7 linked regions of the Mus musculus genome follow. The protein of the gene in region 6 interacts with the protein of the main gene of each other region in a biochemical or structural test. Links are inferred from orthologs where the notes say so. Each region holds a gene or a part of one and is shown on either strand. Other genes may lie near its edges.

Evidence for each region.
Region 1: the proteins of Lrrk1 (region 6) and Chgb form a complex in vitro, tested with the Homo sapiens proteins (2 studies listed by BioGRID and IntAct, with this or other methods). The link is inferred for Mus musculus from reciprocal best matches to the Homo sapiens genes LRRK1 and CHGB.
Region 2: the proteins of Lrrk1 (region 6) and Snx21 form a complex in vitro, tested with the Homo sapiens proteins (2 studies listed by BioGRID and IntAct, with this or other methods). The link is inferred for Mus musculus from reciprocal best matches to the Homo sapiens genes LRRK1 and SNX21.
Region 3: the proteins of Lrrk1 (region 6) and Abl1 form a complex in vitro, tested with the Homo sapiens proteins (2 studies listed by BioGRID and IntAct, with this or other methods). The link is inferred for Mus musculus from reciprocal best matches to the Homo sapiens genes LRRK1 and ABL1.
Region 4: the proteins of Lrrk1 (region 6) and Foxp1 form a complex in vitro, tested with the Homo sapiens proteins (2 studies listed by BioGRID and IntAct, with this or other methods). The link is inferred for Mus musculus from reciprocal best matches to the Homo sapiens genes LRRK1 and FOXP1.
Region 5: the proteins of Lrrk1 (region 6) and Vgll4 form a complex in vitro, tested with the Homo sapiens proteins (2 studies listed by BioGRID and IntAct, with this or other methods). The link is inferred for Mus musculus from reciprocal best matches to the Homo sapiens genes LRRK1 and VGLL4.
Region 7: the proteins of Lrrk1 (region 6) and Fgfr2 form a complex in vitro, tested with the Homo sapiens proteins (2 studies listed by BioGRID and IntAct, with this or other methods). The link is inferred for Mus musculus from reciprocal best matches to the Homo sapiens genes LRRK1 and FGFR2.

What each region holds. Positions count from the first base shown.
Region 1 is NC_000068.7:132,780,431-132,784,441, reverse strand, and holds the start of Chgb (secretogranin-1 precursor), read right to left. Parts: upstream 2,801-4,011; 5' UTR 2,709-2,800; coding exon 2,660-2,708; intron 1-2,659. UniProt on the Homo sapiens protein: Secretogranin-1 is a neuroendocrine secretory granule protein, which may be the precursor for other biologically active peptides.
Region 2 is NC_000068.7:164,789,021-164,793,270, reverse strand, and holds the end of Snx21 (sorting nexin-21), read right to left. Parts: intron 1,730-4,250; coding exon of another isoform or gene 1,698-1,729; exon of another isoform or gene 1,693-1,697; intron 1,559-1,692; coding exon 884-1,558; 3' UTR 501-883; downstream 1-500. Other genes in the region: Acot8 (acyl-coenzyme A thioesterase 8), read left to right, coding at 261-379. UniProt on the Homo sapiens protein: Binds to membranes enriched in phosphatidylinositol 3-phosphate (PtdIns(P3)) and phosphatidylinositol 4,5-bisphosphate. May be involved in several stages of intracellular trafficking.
Region 3 is NC_000068.7:31,758,497-31,762,738, reverse strand, and holds the start of Abl1 (tyrosine-protein kinase ABL1), read right to left. Parts: upstream 2,801-4,242; 5' UTR 2,703-2,800; coding exon 2,624-2,702; intron 2,567-2,623; exon of another isoform or gene 2,348-2,566; coding exon of another isoform or gene 2,284-2,347; intron 1-2,283. UniProt on the Homo sapiens protein: Non-receptor tyrosine-protein kinase that plays a role in many key processes linked to cell growth and survival such as cytoskeleton remodeling in response to extracellular stimuli, cell motility and adhesion, receptor endocytosis, autophagy, DNA damage response and apoptosis.
Region 4 is NC_000072.6:98,942,346-98,945,845, forward strand, and holds part of Foxp1 (forkhead box protein P1), read right to left. Parts: intron 3,391-3,500; coding exon 3,189-3,390; intron 3,082-3,188; coding exon 3,002-3,081; intron 2,376-3,001; coding exon 2,274-2,375; intron 1-2,273. UniProt on the Homo sapiens protein: Transcriptional repressor. Can act with CTBP1 to synergistically repress transcription but CTPBP1 is not essential. Plays an important role in the specification and differentiation of lung epithelium.
Region 5 is NC_000072.6:114,862,822-114,866,321, reverse strand, and holds part of Vgll4 (transcription cofactor vestigial-like protein 4), read left to right. Parts: exon of another isoform or gene 1-1,729; coding exon of another isoform or gene 1,730-1,869; intron 1,870-2,242; coding exon 2,243-2,438; intron 2,439-3,442; coding exon 3,443-3,500. UniProt on the Homo sapiens protein: May act as a specific coactivator for the mammalian TEFs.
Region 6 is NC_000073.6:66,266,342-66,269,841, reverse strand, and holds part of Lrrk1 (leucine-rich repeat serine/threonine-protein kinase 1), read left to right. Parts: coding exon 1-104; intron 105-3,233; coding exon 3,234-3,351; intron 3,352-3,500.
Region 7 is NC_000073.6:130,260,309-130,263,808, reverse strand, and holds part of Fgfr2 (fibroblast growth factor receptor 2), read left to right. Parts: intron 1-1,742; 5' UTR 1,743-1,894; coding exon 1,895-2,060; intron 2,061-3,500. UniProt on the Homo sapiens protein: Tyrosine-protein kinase that acts as a cell-surface receptor for fibroblast growth factors and plays an essential role in the regulation of cell proliferation, differentiation, migration and apoptosis, and in the regulation of embryonic development.

The sequences.
Region 1 (4,011 bases), on a different chromosome or scaffold from region 6:
AGGGTCCCACTGTTACCCAGGTTTATTAGGGTCACTTAAAAATGTTTAAAAAGTGCTTGATAAGCTATGAAGAAAGACTCCGGTTCTTCCTCAGAGACAGGTCAAACAAAACCTGACTGGCCAACGGGGTTCTTATGCCTGGCTCTGGAGGTTCTGTGGTTTTTCCTTTTCTTTAGTGCTGCAGACTGAGCCCAGATCCTCACACATGGCAGGTGATCACTCCCTGACCGAGCCCCGGCCTAGGGCCAGTCTTTCATGGTCCAATGTCTGCTATTTTGAGAACACGCTCACTTTGGCGAGTCTCTTTTTCCACCTCAAATCTGTGAAATCCTCTGGAAAGAATAACTATGGAAGAATTACTCCCATAATGACTGAGAAGTCACCCTTTCCAAGTTCAACTTTCCAGACCTTCTGTAGCAGTGCAGATCCACATATATAGTTCTGCCTGTTGTTCTTTCCCAATATAAACTGGGTACTTTAACTACCCAGACTGCCAAACTATTAACCCTTGTCAGAGTTGATGGACAAGGGATGTCTCATTGTCCTAGACAATTAGCAGTTTACAAATTACTAGTATAGAGCATCCTCGTTTTCCCAAGGGAGACTCCTCAGACTCTTCTTAATCGAAAGGAACTAGGGTTTGCTTATGGAGCTGCGTTGTGAGCCTTGGTGAGAGTGCTAAGTAATATGTATTTCTTCCAATAGAATCTGTGAGAGCAAAGAAATGACTAAAGATGTATTAGGTACCCAAAACTGGTTTAGCTTATTTCTGTAGCAAATAAGAAATACATTTAATGCTTATGGAAAAGTAAAATAATCAAATGACAAAAAAAAATCAAATAGCAAATCTGAGAATAGCTCTTGAAGCATCAGCATCCATAAGACTATGAAGGTTTGATTCATGTGAAAATCACAGCTGCAAAGTAGGCTCAGCATGTTCTTTTGCTGGTAAACCATGGGCACCCCAAATTCCACCAAACTTGCGAGTCAAACAGGATCTGCATAGCAAAAATACCTTTATCTTTTATGTGATATGGATATGGATTTGGTTTATTCATATTAATTTTTAAGGTGCACAGTACTTACACAGACAGTTGTGGATCTCCTTCAAGAAGCTCGAAATGGTAGAAAATTAACCAGATGACTTCCTGGGGTCTCAACCATGATTTTACTAAGTAACAAACTACTGGAATCCCCTCATTGCCAGATTTGGGGAGGTGGAAATGAGGAGGTGAGTGCTAAGATACATGGTGTGTTTCTGGGGTGATGACCATGCCCTAAAATTGGTAGTGGAGATGGTTATAGTCAAAGTGAAGCAGTAGGCTGCACGATGAGTGAGTAGTTGCCTAAAACAGAAGAGATTTGCATAGCTTCGGTATTTTACTACTAAATATTCCTTCATAAGAGGTATGAAATGTTTAACCACCACCAAAAAGTTTAATTAACCAGTTAAACGATTTACAAAAGGCTTACTGTTTTGTAATCTAGAACAGAATGTACATTGTGTACAATGTATCATTGTGTCCTGTTCAGCAATATCTTTCCGAAATACTTTGGACTTGAAAATTTCTAAGTTGTTCAGTTTGTTTCCTTTTATCAAATTAAGAATATGATATTTATAAAAAATAGTTATTTATAAAAATGATTTTTAAAAATAAGAACATTATGAATGCAATAACATAAATTACCATTGGCTTTCATTTTGTCAAACATTGGATGAGAGATTCCTGTCAATCAAAGGCATATATATATATATATTATATATATATATATACATCTATATATTTCATATAGACATATGGATATCTCAATTCTAGTTAGAAATCTCAGTCTCAGAACAAAACACTTTTCCGAGGACATTCACAGAGACAAAGAGCTGCTAGTGTAATTTGGTGTTATACTTATTTTTCAGTCTCCCAACACAAACACATCTTTCAGGCTATTGGAGACCATTGAGTAAATTTAGAGTAGTTTGAGACTTAGCAACGCACTCATCCACACACAACCGTCAAATATTAACTACTTCTGCTTTCATTCTTCAAAATTGACTAAAACATTTATTTTGCTACTCCAAAGATAATTTCATGGGTGTAACACAGTCTTGTTATTTTTATTTCTGGAGCACAAAAGGAAAGAAATATCTAGTACAGCTTCCATTCATAAATTAACATGTGAATTACCTCTCTTTAGAAACATAAATACAAAGTGTAAATATGTTAACCCTGTAAACAGACACACGAAGACCTGCACACACATATATGACACGCTGAGGGAAATGCCTTAAATGCACTCAGATTTAGTTCTAACTCAGTGCCTTTATAATAATAGAGGAAACTCTGCAGGGGCCAACTGCGTGCATTCCCACCCCTCTGCGGTCACGGGGCTGTGAAAAGTCACACGGAGAGTCAGGCTACAAAGGCTCTCTCTAGCTCTGTATAGAGCCTGACATCTCTGCAGAGAACACAGAATGCGGCTTTGCTTCCAAGGGCTGCACAGCCCCGGCGGGGAAAGGAGGAAAAAGCTGGACAGCTCTTGCTTCTCCTACTCAAAGCCAGGCCAGGCAAGGCAAGGGATACAGGGAAGAGGAGAGGCGAGATAGAGGGTGAAACCCAGTGCCGCCAGCTCTAGGAGCTGTCCGGGGTGCTGAAATCCCACTCACCGGCCAGAGCCGCTGCGCCCAGGAGGCCGAGGAGCATAGCCGGCTGCATGGTGCCTCTCGCCAGCTGAGTGTAGGAGGAGCTCGGCGGGTGCGGGCTCCGCAGAGCAGCTGTGGCGCGGTGGGCGCAGGCCTGGCTCTTATGAAGGGCAGGCGGGGTGCAGTACCCGGGGGCGAGCGGCGGGCGGGGGCGCCCCTCGCTCAGCCCTGACGTCACGGAGCAGCCCCGAGGCGGCGCCAGCGGGCGGAAGCACAGCCAGTGTGTGCGGCCTTGCGCAGGGTCCCAGCAGGCACGGGCAGGGATGCGGGGACGCCAGGTGCTGTAGATCTCAGGCAAGAAGGGACAAGGGTCCGGCTCATATTGTCGCGCCTGCGCTCCAGCTCCTCCGCGCACACCTCCGATGCTGCAGTTTGGGGTTGTGGGATACTTGTGATTCTGAAGTGTGTAAATGACGGGGGTCAGCTTTCTGTATCCTCTGCCAAGCTGAAGAAAATCCTTGCTTGGAATAAATACACAGGCGGTTCTTAGACCTTAACAAGAGAGTAATGGCTGTAAACCTCAGTGTGCAACCATGAATGTGTAACCTGCTCTTGGTTGAGATGTTTGGTCAGTGTCTGTGTATCCCATCTATGGCACTTCTGTCTTCTGTTTATGGAATCTCCTACCCGACGTACTTATTCAGATGAACTTAAAAAATCAAACAGGCCAAAGGATACACTTCAAAATTCTCTCTCTCTTTTAACCTCAATTTTTTCCAAGTTCAGTTTTTTCTGTAACTACTTTCTGTGGCTTAGGCCTATTTTAGTTTGGAGCACACATAATTGGTGCTTTTCCTTTCGCTCTCCCCACCCCTCTCCCTCCCCCTCCCTTCCATTCCCATCTCCCTCTCCCTCCTCTCCCCTTCCCTCCTCGCCCCCTTCCTCTCCCCCTCTTTCTCTTGATTGGTCACTTACCCAGCTCTTCTGATAGACATTTATTTAAGCTGTCACCCTTTGGCCCTTAGTTACTCTTTTACAACAGGAGCATAGCTTGGGGTGAGGTAAGGAGTACATCCTTGAAAACCTGTTCTTCTTTGCTTGCTTTTAAATAGAGATAGAAACGCATTTTAAATTATGTGCGCAATGGAGATGATAGCATCTTCCAGGTTATTTTCAACATGGATTCTGTTAGCCTGATAAGGAATTGGGGGAAAAGCGCCAGGCAATCGTCCTGCCCAGAAGAGACACAATCTGCTCTGATAACAGATTTCGAGGACCAGTGAAACCTGACGTGAGATCTTTTTGGTCAGGTGATAAAAGTTTTCAGTTCCTTTTCCTGAAAAGAGTGAGGCTCAAATTCTCTTTGCACATGCTGA
Region 2 (4,250 bases), on a different chromosome or scaffold from region 6:
TTGTCAGAGCCCCTCTGATCTTTTTGAGAAGTGAGCAGATACGTGAAAGTGCTTTTAAACCATCAAGTGGTGCTGGGGTGTGAGGATCCCTCCAACCCCCGGTGACTATAATAGGCTCACACAGGGGCACTTGGCACTTTGGAATCATGATGTTCCAGTGTGCGGTTGTATGGGGACAGCTCTGCCCTGTGTCAGATCCTTTGCAGGCAAAGCACGCTTGTGCTGAAGCAGGGGCCATCTCACCTTCTCCTTGCTTACAGGTGGCTCTCGAGGGCTGGTGCATGGGCGGCTGTGGCGTCGGGATGGGGTCCTTGCTGTGACCTGTGCCCAGGAGGGTGTGATCCGATTGAAGCCTCAGGTGTCAGAGAGTAAGCTATAGTGAAAGATGCCTGGCTCGGCCTGGGGCTAAAAGGACTTTGCACTGCCATTTCTGAGGCAGGAGTCACAGTTGAGAGCTGGGCTTCCTGCCTCTTACATACAATAAAGAGATTGCTAACACTGGAGTAGCTGACCTTTAATAGAACTACAGCCCTCCCCGTGCCTCTGACTTCCAGGACTACAGTCGCAGTCCCCAGCCCTTCACCAAACTGTTTCACTGGTTTAGAGGCCCATGGATACAGAGACATACTGATTCTGACCTTGGCCACAGCCTCCAGCTGTGGTAGGCTGAAGAGCCCATGCCAAGACTTCCTCCTGGTGTTATCCTAGGGTAACCCCAGCCAAAGCCTGCTCGGAGTCCTGTCTGGCATAATAAAGTTCCCCTCAGTCTGCTGCAGACTCTTTCTGGAACTACTCAATAGGCTCCCAGCTGCTGTGTCCTCAGCCCCTGTCCCCTAACCTGGGCCAGCCTGTCTCCTAGGCATGGCCTTAAGACAGGAGGAAATTAGTCCAGCACCTCTTTGATGAGCAGCTCCTTGAGGCTGGGCGGTGGGGTAGAGGTAAGGCCTGCTTCCTGTAGTGCCTGGAGCTGGGCCTCCGACTGCCGTTTGTCCAGGCCCAGGCGCCAGGAGAGCCGGACATGGGCCTCAAGAAAGGGTGCCAGGAAAGGATGGGGTCTCTTGTCCCCCAGCAGCTGCAGGGCCTTCTCACTGCAGGCTCGGGCTTCCCCGGGATCCTCCAGCTCCTGATGGCACACGGCCAGCCCAGCCAGAGTCAACAGGGGACGGTCTGGGCCAGATGGGGTGCCCAACTGGGTCTGCAGCTGCCAGGCGTTGGCCCACAATGCCAGAGCCTCACGATAAAGACCAGTGCAGGTGAGGCTCTGTGCCCGCCGCAACTCGGGCAGCACAAAGAAGTCCTGCAGGTCCGGAGCTTGGCGTAGCTCTGGCACTGCCTGCAGGTGGCCCAAAAACTGTTCAAAGGCCCTGCTGCGACGGGCAATGGTTTCTGCAGTAAAGTTCCGGCGCAGGCGCTTACGGGGAAAGGAGATGGCAGACATGGGGCCCCGGAATTGCCGCTGCAGGTTTCTGTGCAGCCGCTCAAAGTCCGAGTATCGGCGAGAGATCTGGGCTGGCTGGCGATCTGGTGGCCCTGGGCCCATCACGGCGAGGGTGTAGAGCTGTAGGAAGGGTGGATGTCAGGGCTGATGTAAAACCTCGGTGGGTCTCTTCCCTCCCTCCCGTCCATACTCCGGGCTCTGCTCTTCCACCTCACCTCTTCTGAGACTGGCTAGGAGGAAGCTGCAGAGCTTACCTTACCTTACCTGAGGCTCCTCTGAAATGACCCAGGCCCAAGGTAGCATGGGGGAAAAAAGACAGAAATGAGTTTCAATGTCTGGGGCTGCCACCATGTTACTGCTCCGGGAAATGCCCAGCCCCTTGGGAGTTGGTTGTTGGGAAAGCCTTAGGAAAGCCAGGGGTGAACTGAAACCCAGACCCCTCTTTTGGGCGTCTGAGCCTTCTGAGAGCCAGCTAGGAACTATGTGCCACTCTGGATACATTACTGGCCAAGCTCGTTCACACCAGACCAAAGGATGGGTCTTCAGACAGCCTCAGTAGCAAAAATGATGGATTGGGACTCATGTAACCGCAAGTCAGCCTCCTTCCTGTGACCCAGGCAGAGCAGGGTCTCAGATCTTCCTGTGCTCTGGTTAGAAGTTCCTAGGCTCAGGCCACTTTTGCTCAGGGATGCCCGGCTTTGGTGCTCAAGGTTTCTAGGTGTCGCACGCACACTGGAGTACACTGCATCAGAAACAGGGTGGTTCCTGATGCTCTCGGATTCCTTTCTGGTTTTGTCCCTTGAGACAGTCTCACCGTGTAGCCCATGATGGCCTCTAATTCACAATCTGACACAGCCTCCTGAACGGTAGGATTAAAGGAATGTAACTCCATGCCCAGCCTCTTCAATTCTTTTTTTGTTGTTTTTGTTTTGGGTTTAGTGTCTGTCTGTCTCTGTTGTTGTTGTTGTGTTTGGACACACACCCGAGTCTGATGCCATAGTTTACAAATGGAGGTTAGAGGAAACCTTTCAGGATTCTGTTTTCCTCTTCCATCATGAGATTTGAGGACAGCTCAGGTCATCGGGTCATGACAAGTGCTGGGCTATTTAGTTTGGCAAGACGGTGTTTTGGTTTTTGAGAGTCTCCTGGGTCCTGGCTGACCTCAAGCTTGTTCTGTAGTCAAGTGCTGACACTACAGGATTACCCAACCACACCCAGTGTATGCAGAGCGGGGGATGGAAGCCAGAGCTTTGTGTGTGCCAGCCAGGTACTCTACCAGTGAAGCAAGCCACACTGCCAGCCCTCTGCAGTAATCCAAGGTCTCTATAGCCCAGGCTAGCCTTGAACTTTTGGTGTTCCTCTTGCCTTAGCTCCAAGGGTTGGGATTATAGGCATAAGGCACCATAAATGGCTTGCTTGCTCGTTTCTTTCCTTCCTTCCTTCCTTCCTTCCTTCCTTCCTTCCTTCCTTCCTTCCTTCCTTCCTTCCTTCCTTCCACCATGGGTTCTGGAGGTTAAACTCAGGTTGTCAGGCAAACACCTTTTCGGGCTGAGCCCTTTCCCTGACCCCCTAGGAGCTTTTTCAAGGAAACCAAAGGCTATAATGATTCCTGCTTGGTAAACACTAACCAGGATGCCTACAGATCCGAGTCCCCACAGATCCGAGATCCAAGGTAAGGATCAGTTAGGACTAATGAGGATCGATGCCAAGCTGACGGTTTAAATGGGGCACCTGCAAGGGTCCACATTAAAGGGCTACCCAGCATATCCAGACATTTCCCCCAAGTATATCCAATGGGGCTGCCAGTAGCCCCGTTATTCCAGTTAGGCTTACCTGGTCTTTCTTTTTTTGAAGATTCACAGTGCATTAAAACAACAAAAACCCATTTCACACCCATCCGCCCTGTATTGTTCAAACAGACAGACTAGATACTGTTTCCTTTCTTTTTTTTTCCCCAGGCTGGCTTTGAACTCCTGATCTTCATGCCTCCATCTCCCAAGTACTGGACAAACACCCACCCGCCAGGCCTCGCTCTTTTCTTGTTTTTCTACAACTCTAAGAAAAGGTGTTTTCCACAGGACACACTGTAGGAAGAGCTGCTCTGCATCAATCTTTTATGTATATAAGTTGATTTTTAAAATGCTAACATGCTTATTCTTAAAGAATTTTATGTACATATAAAACTACTTTGAGGGCTGGCGAGATGGCTCAGTGGTTAAGAGCGCCGACTGCTCTTCCAAAGGTCCCGAGTTCAAATCCCAGAAACCACATGGTGGCTCACAACCATCTGTAACGAAATCTGACGCCCTCTTCTGGTGTGTCTGAAGACAGCTACAGTGTACTTACATATAATAAATAAATAAATCTAAAAACAAAAAACAAAAAAAAAAACCTACTTTGATCATATTTATTCCTCACTCTTCCCTTCTATTTTTATTTTTAAATTTTTGCCAAAGACCATTTCCTATCCGCGTAGGTAACAGTGGTTGTGGTTGTTGGGGCTCGGCTGTAGGTCAGTGACCACGATCTTCCTAACTTGTGTGAGGCCATGGGTTCCATTGCAGTAGCACAGCATGGTGTGACTGCTGTTCTGTCGACTGCCTCGTGCTGGACCACACATCTCCATCCTGCTGTCACTTAACCATCAACAGCCCTGCAAGGTCAGTCTCTGGTCTCTGTCAGCTGAGGAAGCAGGCTCCAAGAGGGAGTGAAGGGCACAACCCTGGCTCTGAGACCTGATGCTAAAGCCCTTACTCTTGACCTCCAGGGGAAGAAATATGGAGACATGGGATGCCCACTGTACGGAGGAGGA
Region 3 (4,242 bases), on a different chromosome or scaffold from region 6:
TTCAGAATTTTCTTACAAGTATTTTTATGTTTGCTTAAAAAATGTTCCTGGTCCTGTTGCTTTATGAAAGCAGGTGTATTACTATTACCTGATGCAGAAAGGAAAAGACTGGTACAGTTTAGGCCCTAGCTGGGCATTTCTAAAGACAGTATTGAATGATCCATAGTGTTTTCCACGGGAGAACAATGCCACGGCAGACCAATGATCCATTATTAGCACAGACAGGCTAAGAATGGGCTTTCTGGGCCAGGTGCTGGGGTGCAAGCCTGAAATCCTAGGTGCTCAGCAGGCTGAGGCAAGAAAATGCCAAGTGCAAAGCCTGTCTCTTTACGTTTACAGATTATTGAGTTCACAGCCTGACTGGACAACTTGGCAAGTCCGTCTCAAAATTCAAAAGTTGGCAAGGGCCTATGGGTGTAGTTCAAGGCCCTGGCTTCCAATACCCAACATTCATTCTCTCTCTCTCTCTCTCTCTCTCTCTCTCTCTCTCTCTCTCTCTCTCCCTCCCTCCCTCTCTCTCTCTCTCTCCACCCCCTCTCCCCCTTTCTCTCTCTCTGTGCAATTCCCTGGAGCCAGATAGCACAAGTTCAAATCCTGGGACTACCACCTGCTGATTCTGTCATCTCAGAGATGTCACCTAACCTTTTTTGGTGCCTCAGTTTCTTATCTACAAGATGAGATAATCAGGGCCACCATAAGAAGTCAGAAAGTGAGGGCATGTGGAATGCAGACAATGCTTGGCCCACTAAGGCCATCTAACTGCTGCTGCTGTCTGTGCTGACCAGGCCTTCTCTGCACAGCAGCAGGGAGCATGCATTTGGTAATAATGGAAAATTCACCATACTCAATTCTCTTCCTGGCCTGTGAGGCCCAGGCCTCTGGGTGGGTGTCATGAACTGATTGATTGATTTAGGATGTAAGCAAGAAATGAAGGCCCAGATTACTTCCCCAGATTCTGGCAACAGCTCTCTTCCCCAGAGACAGACAGCACTTCCGTCTTCAAGACATAATTACACCGAGGCTAGCTTGATTCCGTCAGCTACACAACAAGAATTCCGTCTACCTTTTTGAACTCAGTGAACAGAAAGAGCTCCTAGAGAGACACCTTCCTGGAGAAGGCCTACAAAACCCAAGTGAGGACAGCACTCCTTTGGAACTTGGCAATGCTAGAATTCACCTTAAGGATTATGCTGGAATAAGAATGGATTTTTTCCCCCTTCTAAAACAAGAATTAAACCAACAGCTCTGCACTAAATCCCACATTACCCCAGGAACAAGCTGATACCTTAGCAAAGCTGTGACATGCCCCAACTCTGCAGTTACAAAAGTCCATTCATCTCCGCCTCCAGCGGCTCAAAATGGAGATAGTGCCTCTCACTAACTGGATACAGATGGGGAGGAGAAATGTGCGGAGAGTGTGGAGCAACTTGGAAAAAATAAGCAACGCATTAACTGAGGATGATTCTGGCCGCTCAGATGCCAACTCTGGGGACAAATAAACCATCTCCCTCCCTCTAAGTGGTAGGCCCTGAGCTCATGCCATCCACACCAAGCTCCTCTCAGGAATCCAGGCCCTGAAATCCCCGGAGGGGCTGAAATCTTACTGTGACTTATAGCGAAGTCCCTTATACTCCCTTCTAGCAAAGGGAGAACATCCTCTACCCGAGCTGGGCACCTAAGTCTGAGCTGGGTCATGTGGGGCCCTGTAGGTCTTTGAGTCAAAGACTTGGAAGGGGGGTCGGGGAAGCAGGTTAGATATTGAAAAGCCTTCAATTCTTTACAATTCAAAACAGTAGAAATCCAAATTGCTCTGAAGAAAACTTTACATTTTTACTCCTATCTTAACTCTTACATGAAACAGCCAGAAAAGCCAGGGCACCACACATCTGTGAGTGCTTCTGCCCTTCTGAAGAAGGCAGCAGTCCCCACAAAGGTCAGCTATACTCTAACAGGCCTGGCCACAGCCGAGTCCCCAGCACTCACCACTCACCCTTTTCCCTTGCCATCCTTTTAGACCCAAACACTAAAGACAACAGGAAGGAGGCATGGAATTGGAGGAGCAGGGTAAAGCAGGCAAAAGCAACAGGCTCCTGGCTCTAAGTTTATGCAAAGAACAAAACATGAGGGGCTCCCTCACCAAGCATCAAACTGGAAGCTCTCAAAACTCCTGGAAATACAAGCAAAACCATTCTTTCTCTTCTAAAAAGAGACAATCCCCAAGACCTCTTCATGGTCTGCAGAAAGGTGGGGGTGGGGGTGGAAAGTTCACATGAAATTCTGTACCCATAAATGGTAGAGCGGGATCCCTTTGTACGCGGCACTTGGTGTAGGTCCACCTTTGTGACATACAATTCCCAGTTGGCAGTGGAAACACCACAACGTGGGCTCACAAGGACCTTAAGGCCTGTGGCACTGACTTTTTCAAACTTTCTGGGCAGGAGCCACACTATGCGCTTGGGCCCCGCCAGCGCCAAAGCCGCGGCTCTCTCTCTCTTTCTGGAAGTCCGAATGAGCCACCAGCACCCGCAGAGGCCTCAGAGGGAGAAGACTGGGGACCTAGAACACACAGGGCACGGGCGGGCAGGACAGTCCTGGTGGGCCCCGCGCCCAGGCCAGGATTTACCTTCCAGGTAGCAGCTGGAGGACGAAGAGAGCCCCTTCTTGGATTTGCAGCCCACCAACTTCAAACAGATCTCCAACATGGTCCCGTGGCCACGGCGAAGGCCCCACCACCCCGGGCCCCCAGCCCCGCCAGGCCGCGCTCCCAGCAGGCCCGCGCCCAGGCCCGCGTCCCGCCTCCCGCCTCCCGCCTAGGCCGGTAACAAAGGGCCCAGCGCCCCGCCCCAGCCGTCCCTTAACCCCTTCCAGGCCAAGGGAAGGCTCCACGCCCTCCCCAGCTGCGTAGCTGCGCTGGCGTAGCCCCTGCCCCTGCCGCGTGTCCGGGAAGGTCGGTGGAAATGCAAATTCCTCTCAAGTTACCAGGACTGGTCTCGGGGAGCGACTGTGATTAAACCTAAAGTGGGTATCTGAGGAATGTGAACAGTCAGGGCTGGAACCCACAGGAATACCGAATACCGGACGCGGGTCCAACCACCCATTTAGACCTGGAGTTGTGAGTTTAAGCTTAGGGAAATGTCTCTATGGTGCGTGTTCATTGTGGGCTGGAATGGCGGTCCTTCCTGACCTCATTTTTACAAGAATTTCCCCTGTTTTTGGTGCCACAGGTAATGTTTGAATCCATTTCACGGTGAGTTTTTGTTTTCCTAAACGCTAGCTCGAGGTTACCAACAAGATTTTAACTAAGCAATGGTCACAGCAGTGGACTACTGGCACTAAGTTGGTGGGAAACAAGGACCCCAACTACAACAAATCTAATAAAAACTCACCCAAGTTCCAATGACAAGGGAAAAATAAACTTATGAAATAATGTCACATAACTAAAAGTCTGGTCCCCATCCTTGCACTTGAAGAGCTGACTGTCCCAGGATGGTTCTCTGAGAAGTGCTCCATGTGCCTTGGTACCCAGAGGGTGCGTGCACCTAATCCTGTGAGGAAAGTTATATCATGACCCAGATTCTTCATGTGAGAACAGACACTCCAGAAGGTCACATGGTGGAAACCAGAAGACTCAACTCAGTCAGGGTCTGCCTGGTTCCAAAGTTTGGTCTCTTGGCTTCTAAGCAGACTGTACCGGATAGCTAGATCCATGACAAAAGTTATCACCTGCCGGGCGTGGTGGCCCACGCCTTTAATCCCAGCACTCAGAAGGCAGAGGCAGGTGGATCTCTGAGTTCGAGGCCAGCCTGGTCTACAGAGTGAGTTCCAGGACAGCCAGGGCTATACAGAGAAACCCTGTCTCGAAAAGCAAAAGAAAAAAAAAAAAAAAACAGTGCCATGACTGTGCCTGTGACAGGCCTCTCAGCCAGGATGTCACACACTTTTCGTGCTAATCAACCCAAAAATGTGTCTGTGCCAAAAATGTGTCTGAAGCCAAGTGGACCTACTTTGCTGCCAGAACAGGCCTCACAAGTACCCAGGGGACTTTCAGAACTCACGCCATTCAATCTCCTGGAGAAAAGGACCAGAGTGCCCAGGAGGCAAGGGTACCAACTGGATACTTTCCTGATCCTGGGAGACCATTTTCTGTGAGAGCCCACATGCTGACTAGCGCTGTCTTGATCCTGCCAACCTCTCCATGATTCCATGATGCCGACCGTAACACTGAGGGGGTGCCACCAGTAC
Region 4 (3,500 bases), on a different chromosome or scaffold from region 6:
TCTACGTTTCTTATGTTTAAAAGTCACTGACGGCCATTGCTGAGTGCGATCCTTCACATCTAACAAAACGGGCATTCTTAAGTGCAAAGAGGCCCGAAATGTCTCATATTTTCAGGAAAATCTGCAACCCTGACGGGATAACCAAACTGGATACACTCTAGTTTTGCCTGGCTGAGCAACTGGGTGATGAATTTGAGACTATTACAAGTGGCCAGTGGCAGGTTTGTTTTTTTGGTTTTTGTTTGCTTGCTTGTTTGTTCATTCAGAGTAAGTGGCTTGGAGGACATATACGCTGAGATTTTGGCACCTTACATAAGCCCTCACTTAATCCCCAGCATTGTATTGTCCAGACAAGCTACAGTCTTCTCCCACAGTAATTTGCTTTCTTGGTGACAAATGTTCAAACTCTCAGAGGTCCTTCAGATTTCTGGGAACTGATCATTGGTGACTAATTGGGTTGCCTAAAAGTTAGTCTTCTCTGTGATACCCTACTTAGAGGATAACAGGGCACATCTTTATTACCTCTGTTATAATTTGCTCACCAGTGGACTCCACAGAGTGAGCCCCCAGGAGAATGAGTACAGCTGGAAGGAGCCTGCTGATCCTGACGTGACTGACAGAGGCTACCCTTGATGGAAGAGCTTTCTGATGGGCTGCTTAAAAACAAAACTCGACACCTATAAAATTAACCTGGCTTTTAAGGAAACAACTTCTTCTTTATATTGCACAGGGAATTATCTCCTCCACTATCACGGAGGAGACAGGAGCAATTGTAGCCACTTCCCTTTCAAAATCAAGAGAGCACATGTACACCCGTGAGGGAGACGGCTGGGCAACAAGGCAGCATCAATCACTGTTGGGAATTTTACCTAAGTATCAAAATGCACAAAAAAATCCAAAGACTCCGGGGGCTATTGCTGCTCACAGAATGATGTAGAGCGCTCTGTATATTAAAACGGATCTGCAAAGGACACCATTCCACAGTGTCCTTTGGATCACTGTCCCAGTAAGGACACATAGAGAAAAACTATCTGTATTGACGAGTCCCTGGGTACTTCCCAGGGGACTGTTTGTATTAGTGACACTTCTGCCTTTACTCTGCAAAGCTGGAAAAGGGAGATGTGAGTTGAAATTCATATCCTCAGCTGATAATTATTTTGAAATGTGGTCATTTGGTATTTATAAAAAGCAATTTGAAGAAAAATGTCTTCTTTATGCTTCTACATCCTAAACTTTTCAGAGATTGGTAACTAAAGAGCTGTTGTATTTTCTCTCCTGGGGCAGGACTGGAAAGAAGCTAAGATCTGCAGTATAACTTCCTGTCAGCCCCCATGTGGCTAATGAATTAATTCCGTGCCTATATTAATCTTCTTATAGAATGCGAGGAGGAAAAAAAAACAAAACCTGTTTCTTCCTATTAAACTAAGGAAGCCACGTCCTATAAAGCACCTGTTGTACTGAAACCATGGATAAGGACAGATCTTAAATGCTAGGCGGTACTAAATAGAACGGCGTGTATAGGCATTGTGTAATAAATTCAAACTAGGAAGCTGAGAAAAAGTTGTGAAGGCTATCTGTATAGCCTAGCCTGGCCTTGTACTCAAAAATCTCCCCACTTCTCAAATGCTGGGATGACTGGCATGCACCACCATGCCTAACCAGGAAGGCTTAATGGAGCACGGAGTAAATGCCTATGAGATTTAGAAGGGACTCCAAGCATTTAGGGGTTATCTAGCAACCGACCTCTTCTATGGCAAATGGTGTCACATTACATTACATAATTCTGAAACTACCTTTTCCCCTCAGGGTAGCCATGAACCCATTCTTATAATGGATACCTTGCAGTCTGCAGAAATCAGCCTTTTGGCCGTGTGAGTATGAGGGTTACACAGCTTCCGCTGCTTGTGGGGTTGAGCTCTGATCTAACCACTGAAGGATCTTATCCAGCTTGGTTCCTAGTTACGCCCCTGAAAATGACTGTTGGGTTGCCCACGGTGTGTGTCAGCACAGGGCCAACCTCCGAGTTAAGGGTCACAAGGTCACCTCCTTCCCCTACACAGGATTCTCCAGCAAATCCAGACACACCTCTCTTGCAGGGGCAGGGGCAGGGGCTGGAGTGGCTCTTCCATCTGAACACTTCAACCACAATGAAACACTTCTCCTAGTCACCTTCCCCAGTGCAAGGGGAATACTCTCTTTGCCTAATAACTAGATGCTTCTCCAGAAGATCCTCTCTTCTATAAAGGTCAAAAATTCAAGACTGCAAAGCTTACCTTCCACGTGGCTGCATTGCGTCGGAAGTAAGCAAACATTCGTGTGAACCAGTTATAGATTTCGTTTAGTGTTAGCTGCTTTTCTGGAGATTCGAGAATGGCCTACGAGGCAAAAAGAATCCGGAGAAGGTAATTCATCATCCAATAGGCAGGGTCATTCGACAGTGTTCATAAAAATGTAGAAAAAGAAAACCCAACCAAACCGGAACCAAAACTGGAATTTGGAGCAAACTCCTCAGGCAGGTTTCACAAAATGATCGAAGATTAATGGTTGTATTTAAGCAGTTCAGTAGCAAAACTCGAAATGGAATTATCTAATTGTTTGGAGTTTTTATTTCTGTTTCCGTACAGAAATATTAATTTATTAGTCATTCATAAAGCAGAATCAAAGAGAAATGCAAAACATTTCACTAGCTGATTAAAGCTCAGTAATTATTTAGAGCTCAGATTAATTCCAGGGATCAGAGATTACTGTAGCTTTGTGATAATTGACTTGCCATCTTTAAACAGCCTCATTCTCACTGTTGTGTGAAATGAATTCCCTAATAATCACATCGTATTGTAATACTTAATCAAAAGCAATTATGTTATATATTGCAGTTTTTAAAAACCTTATAGAAAAGGTTTTAGCATGCTTGCATACTAAGTGGTTTTAAATCTACTTCATCAATATAATATACCCACGTACACCTTTTGATAGCATTTCACGGTCCATGTTATTTACTTACCTGCCTGATTAAAGATGCATATGTAAATGGTGGTCTAACTTCCGCGTTCTTATAAAATTCTTGGTTCTGCGCAATATCTGCTAAATGAGAATCATTGTCCTATTAATGATCGCTTTTTAAAAAGGGGCTCGTCGATAGGAACTGCAGATTCCCCATGCCGCCCCAGGCAAAGACAGAGAGTAGCTACCTGAAGAAATGGGCACGTTGTATTTGTCTGAGTACCGCCTGCGGATAGGTCCCACCGTGTGCATGCTGGTGGTGGTGATGACGGAGGGGCCTTGGGTGACAGGAGTCAGGGGGGCGGTGGGGGTTGTTGGAGTATGAGGTAAGCTCTGTGGAGAAGCCTCTGAGGCAGACTTGGAGAGGGTGACACTTGATACCAGATTCAGCTGTGAGGAGAAGGATATGGGTTAGAAGAACTTGAGAAAGGCAAAACAAAAAGCACAAATCAAACAACCACAGAAATCCGAGCAACCGTGAAAACCTCTCTTGTCCCAGA
Region 5 (3,500 bases), on a different chromosome or scaffold from region 6:
GGATGTGTGTGGTTTGGGTTAGCGTCCTGACAGCACAGGACACACTGGGCTGTGATTCATTCAAGGGGGAGGGACATGGAAAACAATGTCTGTCTTTAAGCTCCAGGAACCAGGAAAATGAGCTGGAAATAAAGTGATGTGTAATTTTACTAAAATTAACTAGCACATTCCCAGGCTTGCTCTGTGTTTCGTGGTATTTTGTATGATGTTCCATGCCCAGTGCCAGTTGACTGATTTCCTAGGCATGGTCCTGGAGGCCCCCTCTTGGTACCACCTAATTCTGGTCTCTCTGTGCATCTCATCACTGAGGTTGGTGCTTGCCCACGTGAAATGCTGTGGGGATGGAAGGTGGGAGGTGATAAGGACCTGAAGGTTAAAGGGACAAGTGATATTTGCCTGCCTGAGTCTTCTTTCCATCTATAGGGTCTTCCTCAGATCCCCCCACCCCCAGCCCTCCTTGTGTTGGGTTCTTCTGCACCCATTTCCTGCCACAGGGTCTTCTGGGAACCATGATGCTCCCTGGGAGTGTAGAATCGTGTGAAGGCTGTGGATGCACTGTGGTCCACGGGCCAACCCTGGTTCCCCATGAGTCTGCCCACCCCTAGTTTTGTACTCTGATATCTTCCTTTCCCTGTGCAGATGGTCTGCAGCTCAGGGCAGGCAGGATTCCATCTCGCCAGTGGTTTCAGTGCTAGTGTAGGACAGGCAGAGGTGACCAGCAGTGGTGTGGTGGCTTGTGCCTTGAGGGTTGCACTGGAATTCAGGGAAGGACAATATGGCTGCAGCTTCCCTGAGGACTGGCAGGTGGTTATGAATGCTTTGTGGCAAGAGCCAGAGGTGAGCGTGGACAGGCAGTCAGGAACAGTAGATAGAAAGGTGTTGGCTGCTGACATGTGCTCTCTGTAAGGTCAGATTTGCTCTGAGATGAACACAGGGAAGCCACGGAACGATGGGGCTCAGTGGGTGTGGCAGTGTAGTTTTACAACAGTGAGGAAAAGGGATACTGGGTACCCAGGAAGTGCTATGTTACTGCTCACAATTGAAAGTTAAGTGGTGGGCTGGTGAGATGGCTCAGTGGGTAAGAGCACCCGACTACTCTTCCGAAGGTCCAGAGTTCAAATCCCAGCAACCACATGGTGGCTCATAACCATCCCTAACGAGATCTGACTCCCTCTTCTGGAGTGTCTGAAGACAGCTACAGTGTACTTACATATAATCAATAAAATAAATCTTTAAAAAAAAAAAAAAAAAAAAAAAAAAGAAAGTTAAGTGGTCACTAATAAAAGGTGTGGCTGTCACGTGTGTGGTATGACCTTTGGTGGTGTTGCATTTGGCTGGCCCAGCAGGCAGGCATGGCTGCCTTTTGCCCATAGGCACATGACCTGCTTCCCTGATGGCAAAGAACAGGCCAAGCAGGGGCTTAGAGAATAACCTAGAACGTCCAGAAGTCTTGGGAACCATCTTCCACTTTCCTTTCAATTTTAAAGTTGAACAACTCAGCTCTGGCAGTTAGAGGGACAGACTCGAAGGGATTCTAGAATCCCCAAGGGGTTCTAGAATAAGTGGCTGGAGGGAGGACAGAGCTGAGCTTGGAACACCTTGTGTTAGCTGGGCCTTGCGGGCTCTCACGCCATAGCTGTATTGACACTCTCCACAGGCCCGTGTAGCGGCGGCAGCATTGAGCAGCTGGCCTGTGGTCCATGGGGCATTTGCCACATTCAGTGCCGGCATGCACAGCTCCAGGGAGCTGCTGTCCTCTGCTTGTCTGATGCTGTGGCTTCTGGGTACAAGTGCTGCCCACTGGCTGCCATCTTACACACCGAGAAGCAGAGCCATCACACTGGTCATCAGTGTCCTCTCTGGACAGAGGTAGAAATGGCCTCTGCTGCTTAGGAGCAAACATCACTGTGGTCCCTCTCCAGAGCTGGCTTATAGGATTGCACCATTTCTCTGGGTCATTCCCACCCTTCAATGACCAACTGTGCCCAAGCTGACCATGAAGTAGATCTCGTGTGTAGGCAGGCAGCAGCATCTGCCTGCAGGAAAGGAGGGAGGCCACAAAGCCAGCTTCGCCCGCAGGTGCCTCTCCTATACTCAGGGCGTGGTTCCTCAACTCACCTGTTGGTCCTGCCCTTAGCGTTAGTGTAGGAATGTCATGGAAACACCTAGGAGAAAGCACATGGCTCCTCCCCAGGGCCCCCTTTGCCCGTCACCCCCCTCTGAGCATGACCCTGTCTTTCAGGAATAAGACTGTCAACGGAGACTGCCGCAGAGATCCCCGGGAGCGGAGCCGCAGTCCCATTGAACGGGCTGCAGCCCCCGCCGTGAGCTTGCATGGTGGCCACCTGTACGCATCTCTCCCCAGCCTCATGGAGCAGCCTCTTGCCCTGACTAAGAACAGCAGTGACACAGGCAGGTCAGCTGTGGAGCGGCAGCAGGTATGTATATGTCATCTGGAGGTGGCCATATCAGGCTGGATGTTGGGGACTAAGAGCTCCATGGAGAACCCCGAGCAGAAGTCCTGAAGTGAGGGGATGTTGGTACCCTCACTCCTTTGGCTTCCTCTCTGCACAGTGCAGGGTTGATCTGGATGAGTGCCTGGCCCTGGCTTGGATGCCCATCTTCCCTGGCACTGTGTTCCTCGGGGTCAGTGTAGCAATCCTCTTGAGAGGCCGGCCCTTCCCCCATATGATTTCATAAGGCCTAAGTTAAATGTCAGAGCGTTGCTGGGGGCTTGGGTCCTATAAAGTTAGTGGTCATAAACCTGTGAGTAAGGCAGGCCATTGTTGTTATTGCTATTACTTCTACTAGAGGAAAATGAAATTAATGCTATTTAAAAAACAAGGCCAGGCCTAATAGTATAGGCATATAATCTCAGGTACTTGGAAGGCTGAGGCAGGAGGATTACAAGTTTGAGGCAACTTCATAAGGCCTTGACTTACAAAGAGCAAGATAGGTAGAGGGAGACTGAGGACATGGGCACTTGCCTAGTGTGCGAGGCTTCAGCCCCACATAAAAAGCCCCAGAGACAACAAAAGGGTAAGGTTTCTAACAAAGACTGTAGTAAGAGACTTTAAAAGCACACAGGCAGCATGAGAGGGAGGGGTGGGGTGGAGTGTTTCTGTGGGGTGGAGTGTTTCTGTCCCCTGTGTGACCCTTGATGGACTCTGAGCCTCTGGGCCTGTGATTCCTAGGTTTCTGGTCAGTGTTTGTACACACTAACAGGGGAGGGTGGGGCCTGGCCATTAGGAGATGCTGTGTGTTGGGGCTCACCTGCAGGTGCTGGAGAAGGGGACCCCACCCCAGTCTAGTCTCCCCCTCTCGACCTGCTGTTGTGTAGCACAGAGGGCCCGAGGAACAGGGAAGGTCCCTGGCCTGAGAGCTGGGCTCGCTGGCAGCTCCGCTCAGTAGATGAGGAGTTGACCTGTTCTCCCTCCCACAGAACCGGCCCTCTGTGATTACCTGTGCATCCGCGGGTGCCCGCAACTGCAACCTCTCTC
Region 6 (3,500 bases):
GCCACCTTCATGTACATGCTGCCCTGTGGGAAGCAGTCGGCCTTCTTCTCATCCCAGAGCCAGGAGTACACTGTGGTGTTCTGGGATGGGAAGGAGGAGTCCAGGTAATCTCTTCCCCTGTCCTTCCCTGCACACTGGGAACAGAAAGCAGCGATGCCGGTGGGGTGTATTATTGAGCAGACAGAAGAATGCAAAGCCTGGTTGTAGTACATTCAAAAGAGAAGAAGGGCCAGGTGGGGGTGGCAGAGGCCTTTAATCCCAGCACTCAGGAGACAGAGGCAGGCGGATCTCTGAGTTCAAGGCCAGCCTAGTCTACAGAGTGAGTTCCATGACAGCCAGAGCTACACAGAGAAACCCTATCTCAAAAAAGAGGAGGGGCACAGGTCTGAAGCTAAGGGAAGCAAAGAAAAGGTTGGATGTGTTGGAAACCCAATTCCAGGAAGAGAGGGAGAGTGTTGCTTCGAGATGAAGTTAGCCACATTCTGAACACGGACATTAGATGATGCTGAAGGTGGAAGGGTGAGCAGCCAATGGGGTGGGATTACGAAGCCAGCAGACCAGAGCCGAAGGAAGGCAGGAGGCTGTAGCAGAAGGGTCGCTGTCTAATAATTGGCTGTGGGGCAGTCTCTTCTGGTTTCAGCTCTTTTTCATAGAAAAGTGGCAGGAAGTGAGAATGGGGAATGAGATATCTGAGAAGAAAAGAGAAGGTCCAAAATGGTCACCATGATCTGGGGAGCCAGGGTGCCTGCAGGGAAGTACAGAGACCCACTGTAAGTTACAAAGAAACCCACCAGCCTGGCTATGTGACTTCTGCTCACTCCAACTCCTAAGACTGAAGATGGCTGAAAACCTGACTGTTTCACCAGGAAGGAGAGAGGAAGCAGGATGTGAGGGTCTTTCAATGGGGCATTTAGAGAGAAGGCTCGTAGGACCTGAGACGGTAAAGTAGGGAGAATACACAATGGCCCTAGAAGGTCCCCAGCTAGATATGACTCAAGGCAGAGTAAGCTAAAGATCCAGGAGAGGGTCAAGAGGCAGTTGACGGTCAGCATCGTGTGGCCAGAGAGCAGTCAGTAGTAGAAGGCAAGAGGTCTGCTGTAGGGAAGACCCACTAGGAGGAAGAAAGAATTCCTGAGACCCAGAGGCATGGGAAGGAGAGTGGCAAGAGACGAAATCTCCATGGAATGGAGGTTTTGTGTGATGGCCTTTAGGGTTGTCCGGTGCAGGCTGCCCCTTCTGCCCCCAACACGAGAGCTTTGCAAGTTAGTGTAGTCTTCAGATGCTCTCAGTGGAGAGCATTTACAGGCCTCACAGTCTGCGAGAGGAGGCTTAGACGACGTGAGAGTTGACTAGGGTCGGATCAGCAGAATGGACTCTGACATTTGCATGGATCTGAGGCTCTTAAGCTGTCAGTGGGGACATGGACAGAGGGAACATAAGTTCACAGTTCCAATTCTTTGCATTGGAGAGGACCAAAGGAATGTCACTGGCACTCCGGGATCTAGACATAGTCTCTAAGTACCAAGGAGAAGCAGGGTTTATCAAATGGCTGTCTCCAGGACTGGGCCTGGAACATTTGACACAAGAGAAGCAAGGAAGCAGGCAGAGGCTTCTGGGAGCATCTTAATGGGACCCCGGAGTCAGCCAGGTCTGCAGATGCTGGGACAGACCCTCTCTCACCCACCTGAAGATGTTTGCTTTCCCTTCATCACAGACGTGAGCAGGATGCTGGAGAGAGTTGGACCTGGGGGGAAAAATGATCTTTTCCAGTAAGAAGAAAGTGTCCTTAAAAACTCCCACCAAAGAAGGGAGAGTGAGGCAGAGGGCTTCTACTTGGGCACACAGAGCAGGGAACCTGGAGAGAGAGAAGATCAGATGCCCAGACTGATCCGTGGAAGAAGAAAGGAAAGAAGGCAGGAAAACCAGGGCAGCACGACACTACTATGGTTAGACTCTGGTCTTTTCTCCGTAGTTTTTATTTTTCTTACAAAGTGTCATTAATTTTTTTTCAATACATAGGAGGAAAGACTAAAATGAATAGACAGAACTTTGAAGGAAGTTTAGTTTGCAAGTTTTGTATCCATTTTTATCATCTGCAGTCGTTTGGTGTCAGTCAGGGATGGAGAAAGCCTTCTAAAACCTGGCTCCAGGAAAGAACTCATAGTGTGGCTCCTGTCCATTGCTCCACTTCCTCTCTGACCGGGAGAAAGAGCTGTGCGCTCTGGGGAGTGCGGCTAACCAACTAAACACTCCTCTACTTGGCTTCACTCCCTTCTCCATGCAAAGGACACTGGGGACATGTGGAGGGGCAGTGGTGCTGGACACATCCTGGCCTGTGAGCCAAGAGCTTGCTCTCCTCACTAACTGTGAGCTGTTCTCAGAGTACCCAGGTTGGAGGTGTGTCTTGAGCTCCATCCATTCAAGTGTAGACTTTGCACATCTTATCTTTAGCCTGCAGCTGTCTACTAAGCTCAAGAGGCTGCCTCTGTTTCTGTGATGGGTGGCCTCTGGTCAGTGGGAGAGCAGTGAGCAGACCAATGGAGGTGCCCTTTGTCATCATGTTGGGATGGTTGCATGAACCCTTGGAGGTCACAAAAGGAAAGGAGGCTGGCTTCCTGTTGGAATGCCCTTTCTCTTCCATGTTCAAGCCTTGCATAGCAGGCAAACCCAGATGTACCCAATGGCATGAAGGCTGGTCCTTGAGTCTCTCAGGATGTGGCAAGGTGTGCGTCTGATTTCAAGAGGTGAACAGGGTAGCAGACAGCGTCCTTTGTGTGTAGTTACCTTTGTGTCACTGTGGGCAAAATAACTGACAGAAACAACTCAATAGTGGATAACTGATCCAGACTCACTGTGTCCAGTCCCTGCTGTCTCAGCCCCCTGCCCTTGGGGGGAAAAGCACGGTGGCAGAGGCTCTTTTACTTCTGGGAAGACAAGATGCAGAGAGAGGAAACAGGAGAGACAGAGAAGGTGGGGAGGGAGACCGGGGTCCTGATAGATCCTTCAAGGCCCTGCCACCAATATCTCATCCCCTCCAGCTAGCCTCGCCTCCCAATGTTGCTAGAACCTCTCAAAATAGTGCCTACATCTGGGAACCAAATCTTTAAAACATGAACCTGTGATAGACCCTTCATGCTTAAAGGATTACCCCTGTTCCAAGGCCATTCCACCAGCCTGGGGAAGGAGGTGCCCCTGGCTATCTGAAACTAACTATATGTCGTTGCTAACCACAGGAATTACACGGTGGTCAACACAGAGAAGGGCCTTCTGGAAGTACAGAGGATGACCTGCCCCGGGATGAAGTTGAGCTGTCAGCTCAAGGTCCAGAGCTCAGTGTGGATAGCCACGGAGGTAACTGCCAGCCTCCAGGGTCCGTGTCAGGGTGAGCGTTAGAGGGGGACAGTTCCCAGGGGGACCAGACTTGTAAAAGTACAAGATGTCAAGATCAACTTGTCCCTGAGCGATCCCTAAAATAATGTCATCGATCCTGTGAGGTAGGT
Region 7 (3,500 bases), about 64 Mb from region 6:
GGTTTGAGGAGGGGGCTCCTGTGGGGGCTGGGACTTCGAAGAACGAACGTTCAAGTTGAGTCAGCCTGGGGCACTGGCCATCTTCCTCATTCAGCTGGAGCTGAGGTACTCCTGGGTAGTGGCTAGTAGAGACAGTGGGCCCAGCACTCTGCTTCAAGACCTACTGGGACCTGAGATTGCAAAGTTGCTGGAGAGGGGAGTTTACCTGCATTCTGAAAGTTCTTAGGAAATCAACGAGAATGTTTGTGCACTTTCCTTTGACTGGTATGTAGAAATAGACAAGGAATTATCTTTTGTGACTCTTGGCTTTAAGAAGAAAGAAGACTTGGGGGAACAAAAATCCTTCCAGCCAACTAAAAACACTGGGCACCTAACTGCTCATATACCCCTGGCTTTTGTTGTTAGCTATACCATTCTACCTGTGCTTAAAAAAACAACCAAACAGCAGCTTCCTATTCCCCTCTTGGAGATGGTACGTCCTCTCTGCCTTAGTCTCAGTGAAGGCTGAAAGGAACAGATTTTAGGACGGAGGTTCTGGCAGTGTCGAAATCCTGTGTCATAATTGAAAGCATCAAAAGCGCACGGGATTAGAATTCTTTTTCTCTTTCTCTCTTTTTCATTAAAACGCTCACCCATCCCCAGTCTCATAAAATGGGCATCCCAGCATCCAAAGCCCATGGTTTTGTGCGATCCTTTCCTGCCATTGGTTTCAGCAGATTCTCTAAAGCTCGTGCATTCTGACTCAAAGATTAGTCACTGAAGACACTGAACAAACATAAAGTTATTTGTACTGTGGTAAGCTTTTTTTTTTGGGAAATTCTCTGCTTTGGATCTAGTAAATTGAGTGCCCCCTTGTAACTGATACTTGGGAGGTTTAGCCAATAGGTTAGCGTATTGAAAGTTCCCAGGCCAATCACATACCAGGGCAGCTTGTACGTATCATCACCATTACTAATAAAATCTTGAATTATTCATCAAGGGTTGTATCTTTACCCCTTTGACGTCGGTTGCAGATATTTAGTTAGTATGCCTGTACACTGCCTTGTAGTCAGTGGAAGGGAATTCAGGCTTTGAATCCCCCGGTTGGATTAAACTCACTCTTTGTAAGTGGCTGCTTGGCGGAAGATTGAAATACACGCCTGCATTCGAAAATGAATTCTGACAAGTGTAAACTGGTGGGAATGTTTTTGAAGCCTTCCTGAGATTCTTTGATTCTGTTGGTCTCCTTTCTTTCTGAGAACCGTTCTGAAGCGAGGACGTGCCGCTCAGCTCAGCTGAAATGCGGTTCTCAGAGCAGACCCTTCCTCCAGTCAGCGTCTTAAAGGCCAGCTGGAATAAGAGACGTTAATGAGGCTGGCCATGCCAAGCCCAGCGTTTTAAACTCAGGTTTTTCTGCAGTTGCCCTTGAAAGGAATGAAGGTCAAGTTGCTTCAGCAACCTTGCAGCTTTGATAGTGGACGGAAGGGCACGCTGCAGAGCTGGGTGGCTGGGTCCTACAGTGATGGTTTATCTTGCGTCTCTTAAAAGTAAGCTTAAAAAAAAAAAGATTAGCCTACTGCAGCTTGTGGACTAGCCTGGAAACACCTGGGACGCTGAGGTGAGGATGGAAGGCTTTTCCGATAATGAGAAAGAATGTGTTTGCGAATGTATTGAGAGGCTGAGAAATGGTTTTATCCCATCTGGGTTTAAGCAAGTTGGCACTGGGGGAAAAAACTGAATCTGGCTGAATCTCTCTCTTTCAGTGGCAGCCACAGCAGCAGCAGCAGCAGCAGTGGGAGCAGGAACAGCAGTAACAACAGCAACAGCAGCACAGCCGCCTCAGAGCTTTGGCTCCTGAGCCCCCTGTGGGCTGAAGGCATTGCAGGTAGCCCATGGTCTCAGAAGAAGTGTGCAGATGGGATTACCGTCCACGTGGAGATATGGAAGAGGACCAGGGATTGGCACTGTGACCATGGTCAGCTGGGGGCGCTTCATCTGCCTGGTCTTGGTCACCATGGCAACCTTGTCCCTGGCCCGGCCCTCCTTCAGTTTAGTTGAGGATACCACTTTAGAACCAGAAGGTAAGTTCATGCGTGCCATTTTAAGGGTACCAAGTCGTTTTGGGGATGTGTCTGGGGGAAGTGGTCTTTAAGTGGGAGGCCTGTTTCAGCCGGCTGCCATATGAGTAGTCTCTCTCCGCATCATATCGGAGCTTAGAAGGGAGGGTCTTGTCTCCCAGGCATGAGTGGAGTGGTTTGGTTTGCTCTGTTCTTTGTGCTTGGGTGAGGGAAGCAGTGGCAGTTCTTGTTTAGCCAGTGCCTTACAGCACTCTGGAGGGGACGTACCTTGGCAGGGTGACTGTGGCCTTCTGCAGTTGCTCTCTAGATTGAGGGAAAAGCCTTGAATCACACTATCTTTTGGCTAAAGGAAATAGGCAGCCTCTGAAAGCTGACTTTTTTTTTCTTTTTCCGCATTGTTTAAGAGAAAAGAAGGTTCTGAAGTTGAGCATGGAGAGCCGTGCCATGCTGGATCGGTTTTTAAGCTGGTGTAAGCTCTTTGTGCTTTCACCCGGCATCACAGAGTGGGCAGGTTTCATGTTGGGAAGATTGGAAAGTGAATTTGCCAAGAGTCTTCCCCCATCTGGGGAAAAGCCAGATTTCACTAGTGTGTTTGGCTTTGCACACTTGGTTGCAAATGTGAGAAGCTAGTTGTGAGGAGGACGTGGCTGAAATCCGGAGCTGGGCAAAGCGCTGGTCCTTCTCCCAGGTCCTTCAGAGACGTGGTCTGTGGCCAAGCCTCTCTCCTTGGTGCCGCACGGGAATCTGTCATCAGGAGGGAATATTGGTAGGCGAGTTATTTTTTGAGTGGTAATCCGAGCGTGACACTGCAGATCGCAGCACTCATCGCCACTTAATGAACGTGTTTGCTGAGGGCCCACCTGGTGCCGGCTGGCTTTGGAGTCCGTCACGGTCCTGAGTGCTGGCAGGTCAGCTGAGTTGCTGTGGCTATGCACACTGAATCAGGGTCCTGATTCATCCAGATCATCCAGAGGGGGATTGTAGGAGGGACAGGACCCCTCCCCCAAGGGTGACCTCAAGGAGGGCTATGTACCCATCTGAGAGGAGGGCTTGAGAAATGGGTCCCCAGTAAGATCCACCCAGACAGACACTCTCCCTGGCTTTGTGTGTATGTCGGGCCACACAGATGCCTGGAAATGTTATAAATTACCAGGTATCTTTGGAAAGGAAATGAGGTAGGAGTTTTGTGCATGAGGTGTGTTCAACATACAGCCTCACGTCCTTTTCCGGAACCACCTCTCTGTGACTTATCCTGTGACGTCAGGGAGAGTGTAATCTGCAACAGTGACATGTTTTCAAAGGGCTTAATGTGAGGGGGAAAGGATTGGGTTTCTGAAAGTCTGGTCTGCACTTCTTTAATTTTGTTAATAATTAAAATGGATGTCCCCCTAATTGCCGGTTGTCCCTGGAGTGTGTGGCTCAGCACTAACTAAGGAAGCTGAG